2 linked regions of the Daphnia pulex genome follow. Each later gene encodes a partner of the first gene's protein in a complex. Links are inferred from orthologs where the notes say so. Each region holds a gene or a part of one and is shown in the gene's direction. Other genes may lie near its edges. The genes, in order: ragulator complex protein LAMTOR5 homolog and ragulator complex protein LAMTOR2-like.

The links.
Region 2: ragulator complex protein LAMTOR5 homolog (region 1) and ragulator complex protein LAMTOR2-like share a complex: the UniProt entries of both Homo sapiens proteins name them as parts of the ragulator complex. The link is inferred for Daphnia pulex from reciprocal best matches to the Homo sapiens genes LAMTOR5 and LAMTOR2.

Annotation. Positions count from the first base shown.
Region 1 is NC_060023.1:5,836,708-5,839,257, forward strand, and holds ragulator complex protein LAMTOR5 homolog, read left to right. Parts: upstream 1-1,135; 5' UTR 1,136-1,316; coding exon 1,317-1,351; intron 1,352-1,415; coding exon 1,416-1,477; intron 1,478-1,548; coding exon 1,549-1,663; intron 1,664-1,740; coding exon 1,741-1,801; 3' UTR 1,802-1,813; downstream 1,814-2,550. Other genes in the region: trichoplein keratin filament-binding protein-like, read left to right, coding at 47-340. UniProt on the Homo sapiens protein: As part of the Ragulator complex it is involved in amino acid sensing and activation of mTORC1, a signaling complex promoting cell growth in response to growth factors, energy levels, and amino acids.
Region 2 is NC_060023.1:11,050,569-11,053,395, forward strand, and holds ragulator complex protein LAMTOR2-like, read left to right. Parts: upstream 1-1,221; 5' UTR 1,222-1,333; coding exon 1,334-1,401; intron 1,402-1,480; coding exon 1,481-1,516; intron 1,517-1,583; coding exon 1,584-1,710; intron 1,711-1,769; coding exon 1,770-1,916; 3' UTR 1,917-2,013; downstream 2,014-2,827. Other genes in the region: uracil-DNA glycosylase-like, read right to left, coding at 95-183, 246-288, 362-512, 586-774, 837-965; BTB/POZ domain-containing protein KCTD5-like, read right to left, coding at 2,120-2,149, 2,209-2,328, 2,396-2,692, 2,752-2,827. UniProt on the Homo sapiens protein: As part of the Ragulator complex it is involved in amino acid sensing and activation of mTORC1, a signaling complex promoting cell growth in response to growth factors, energy levels, and amino acids.

The DNA of each region.
Region 1 (2,550 bases):
ACGGTTAAGATGTAATTTTTCATCATGGTTCTTGTTGCTTATTTAGATTGACCAAAAAATAATCGCTGCACGACAAGAAAGACAGCAACTGCTGCGCGATCGAGAAGAGCTGGTTCATTCACTCGAGAGCTATCATAATCAAGCAAAGAAGAAAGAAATGGAAAATAAAGCTAAACAGTTTCAAACGAAAGTAGATCTTCAGGCTCAAATTGATCACAAACAGCAAAGAGAAGAAGAGTTTAATCATCTGGAACGGCAGAAGCGCAAACACCAAGAGCTCATGGAAGCTGCTCACAACGAAAAACATTGGAATATAGCCATGGACAAATTGAGACTTTAAAGCGTAAAGTTGACGCACATTTCTTGTCATCAAAATGATTCATATCTCGGCTCTAATTTTCTCGTAATTTTTAAATGTTTACAAAATGTGTATTTTTAAGTTACAGCTTATGTCATTCTATCACAGCTATTTTTCGTACTTTTTCGTATTTCAGGAAATATATGGAGCGATCGCAGAATGCCAGTTTATTTCTTATTGTCAGTGTCTAAATCGTGAATTCCTCTGCTCCCGATCAGTGCTATATTTGGATGAAAGTAGCGGATTACAGTAGAGAAAAATTTGTTCATGAAAAATAATTGAAGCTATTATTAGATTTCTACAAAATAACATGGATATACTTCCTGCTTTTGTTCAGTAAACGTGGAACGCGCATTGCAAAGGAGAAACAGTGGAATTTTCCCTTGTGAATCCGTATCGGTATCACAACATCGCGATATGTTTTACCCTGGTTTGTCTCCCAAAGCAAATTAAATCTGAATCCCAATTTTTCTCTGTTTGCTATCAATTATTAACGCGCTGCGCGCTACCCTCAGAAGTCTTACCAAATCATCCATGCCAAATCATTCGAGCTGCTAAATCCTGCCACCTAGCGCTACCATCCAAATTCTGGCCAAAATAAAAAACTAAAAAAAGTAATGTTATAATAAATTAATAAGATACTACTAAATTTCTTTTCACATTATTGTTTTTTTTTCTACGTTTTAAAAAATCCAAATCTAATGTTTTACAATGAAATAACAGAAATTGCAATAAACAGCTGCAGTTGACAGGCCTTGAGGTGAGTCAGTTTGACTACATTGTTTTGACTCTCTGTCTCTGACAGGCTTCCCAAGTTCCACTTCCTTTTCTACTGTGGCAGACTGTAGATGGTTAATAGGTGCTAGCAAAATAAATCAACAAGATTTTGTTAGCCTGTCGGTTTCTGTTTCTGATATCCTTCAGTTAGTTCCTGTTTATACAAAATACCATTGCTATTATGGATAAAGAAGTTCAAAAATGTGTTGAAGAATTGTAAGTAAATCAGAAATCGTTACATTTAAAAAACCGATTGGAACATAAAATTGTGTCGATTTAGGATGACTTCGCCTGGAGTAGTGGGCGTATTGTGTGCAGACAGACAGGGCATGTGCTTAACGTGTAAGACAAAAGCTTCTTTTTTGAAACACAATTGTTTTTTTATAAATATGAACACATTGTTTATAATATAGCACAAGGTGTTGCCAATTCAAACTACTCCGGCTCATTGACTTCTCTGTCACATTTGGCAACAACATTAGAGCCTGGGAAAGGAGATCCTGTCATTTTGTTTGAAAACCATGAAAGGTATGGTAACAATGTCTTTCTATGTTATTTTTATTTTCTAAGTGCTGATTTATTTTTAACTTTTTCTGTTTCTGCAGTCAGTGTTTGATTCATCAGAATATGGGAATGACTCTTGCCGTCTACAAAACCAATACATAAATGCAAAAAATCTGAGAAATCTAAGTTTTTGTGTAGATATACAAATAGGTTCTCATATATTCTTTATTTTTCTTAGCATTCAAACTTTAAGCCACATGATAAAAAAAATAAATAAGAACCTTTGGTATACGCCTTCGGTTCAAAATTTGTGCTTTAGCTGCAGTGGTGTGCTCGATTTCGTTTGTTTCTGTTTATTTTTTAAAAGATGTGGGCCTATTTTGTGTTACAAATAGTAATTTCCTAATGCAATGGGAAGAAAAAGTGAAAATATATCATTGTGTACATATCAGAAATTCTAGAAATTTTCATGAGCGTATACGTCGTAAACAGCAGAAATTTTTAACTGCGCTATACCTAATTACCTGTAGCTTTTTTTTACAGATTGCCTTTTTTTTTTTTTTTTTCAAGGTTTTTTAAAAATAAACGATCCGCGGTTATCCCAGCCTATGGGGGGGATCCTTATCCGTATAGTTCATTTTCAGGAATCTGGAAAGGGAGTTGAGAAATAAAGAATAGATATCCAATGCAGAATCGCAAGACGATTAATTATTGCCTGACCGAACTCCGCCTGTCTGGGAAATAGTCTGGGAAATATTATGAAAATAAAATTTTTAAAAGTTGACTTCTTGGACGATGCATCACTTTTCTCCATTCTTACCGTACCACAGAATAAATAAAAACTAAAGAGTGATGACCTGAAAAACTAGGAGAGCAAAACACGTAAAAAGCTAGTTTTTTTTGCTCCTTTT
Region 2 (2,827 bases), about 5.2 Mb from region 1:
AATATGTGAAATATCAATATAACAATTTTACGTGACTCTTATTTGAAGATTAAGACAAACGTTAAACTGTGATTGATTTTGTTTAAATGTCTACCTTGTTTGGCCCATCCAGTGAGATTACCATGTTTAGGAATATTAAAACCATCAATATCTGAAGCCAGCTCTTTAAAGATGTTTACCAAACTTCAAATAGTTTTGCAAAAATTAGACACAGTAGTTTTTAAAGTAAAAATTTTAAATATTACCTTGGGGGAGGAGGAACTCCTTTCAAAACACTGAAACACAAACCTTTTTATGAAACAAAAATGTAATGTCAATTCTTTATCTTAAAAGCCATAAAAGTAATTATTTTTTACTATACCATGAGCTTGACCAGGACCGTGATATGGATCTTGACCAATAATAACAACTTTGATATTTTGAATATCACAGAAATGGGTCCAAGACCACACAAGATGTTCTGGAGGGAAAATGGTGGACTTTGATCTTTCAGAACCCAGAAATTTACTAAGCTAAAAACAAAATAATGTAGGTAAATGAAAATAATTGTTATTCAAAGTTAAAAAAAAAGAAACATGTACATACTTCACCAAAGTAGGGTTTCTTAAACTCTGGCTCAATTGCTTGAAACCATGAATGACCAATACTATGGTGTAAGGCACAAGTATTCTTCGCTTGCAATTTTATTTTCGCTAACAAGTGGTTAGTGCCCATTCTTTCTTTTTTTTCAGGAGTAACTACTTCAGTCTTCTCACCAGATTTTTCTCCAACAGGCTAAAAATGAATAGACTTTACAAAAAATACCAGGCATGTATACACAGAACAAAAAAACCTACTTTGTTTTCAATTTGAACATTCTTGGCTTCAGCTGTCTTATTGCCAGACACAAGTTCTGAGAATGTACGCTTCACACCTCCACTTTGAAGAGGTTTAAAAAAATGAGTCAAAGGTTTTTGAGGCGGCATGATTTCTGACTTCAAGAAGCAACTTTAGTTCATTGTAATCATGATTGTAATTAAACACCAAAGTCAAAATAATCGGGCGCGAAATTCACCTTTGGACCAATCTGAAATGAATACATTAAGGCCACCTACAGCAGAAGAATTTGACAAGATTGAGTGAGAAAAAATTCCCTGGTCAACGGAAGGGGCGCTGCCGCTGCCGCTGCCTGAAGAAGAGATTGTCAGCCTGGCCTGGTTATGTAGGAAACATCCGCATTCATTTGTTTTTTTTTTTTTTAGTAAGAGACTAAGAGGAGTAGTGAACACTGAACAGCTGTACTCAGCCCTGACTCAGCTTGTGTCAAAACAGAAGATACCAACAAATCTAAAGAATGTTAAAACCAAAAGCTCTTACTCAAGTCTTGTCTCAAGCAAACACTGGCGGAATCTTAAGCACTTTGTAATATGGCGTGATACCTTAAAATAGTTAACGATTGTTAGTTATTTTTATTTATTTATTATCTTAATTTGTTATGCAGGCTTTTAAATACGGAGGGGGCGTTGCTAGCTTACAGGTGAGCAAAATGTGTTAAAATGTTTTACATTTGTTTATAGTGTTTAAACAATTTTGTGGCTTTCAAGTGGTTATGGGGACAAGGATGCACGAGTGACAGCAGCGATAGCTAGCAACATTTGGTCAGCATATGCTAAAAATGGGAAAGTTGCCTTCAATGAAGATGTCCTGGAATGTGTTCTTCTTGATTGCATGGTATTATTCAATTTAAAGTTTAGTAAACACAAATATTAATTTTGCCAATGCCTTTAAAGGATGGGAAAGTGGTGATTGCCCAAGTTGCTAATTTACTTCTATGTCTCTATGCTAAAGAAAATGTGTGTTTTGGAATGCTTCATGCTAAAGCAAAGGCATTGGCAGACTATCTTGATTCTCCTCTTCGTCAAGTAGCAGCATCATGAACATTTTTTTATAATACAAATTTGGATCTCCTAAAATTTAATGAAGCTGTGAAGCAGAGTTGTATTGCACTTGTGAATAAAAAGCAACACTTGTGAACAAGAAGTGTCAAAATGGCTGCAACGTGGATAAAATCCCACAAGGCTGGTTCTCTGCATAAATTTAGTTCAGTATTTGGTTCCTGGTACAAAAATCCCATAGCTTATTACATTCTTAACCCTTTCTGCTGAAGCACCTAAATAAAGAAACAACATTTTTAAATGCTTCCATCAATAGTAAATTGCAGATACTTACTTTGGCTCTATCAGTAGGCTCTGTTTCTCTTTCTCTCTTGTCACACTCTCTTGATACAACACACAGGAATTCTGAATGGTCTTCATTCCCATAAGAGTACTGTGACCCAACATTTATTAGCTATATAAAAAAAAGATTAGAATAAATAGTCTGTAGTAACTAATAAGATTGTCTTGTGTGTACACACCTGCTCAAATTTCCATCCATCAGACATAGTTGAAACCATTTGAGTTAATTCATCCTCATGACACTGTAATACACGGTAAACTTGCTTCCTACTTTCCTTCTGTGGTACCTCATCTCTTAGTCTTATTTTATCTCTAATTAACTGGATGAGTTCAGTAATATTATAGAATTCAGCTTCCTCTAGGATTCCTTCTTCAGCCAAGTTTTTATCAATAACTAGTTTGCTATGTCTCAAGAAGTTTAATATTGGTGAAAAATAAGTAGGGTCCCGATCAATCATGAAGGCACCTGTTTCATCCTAGTTTAAAATAAAGAGCATAATTTTCAAGTTAAAATTGAGGTTATATAAAGTAATACTTTATCTGAGGCAAGATTGTTGTCTTCTTGACAGAGTCTGAAGAAAAAAGACTTTGGATCTCTGCAAAGGGTTGTT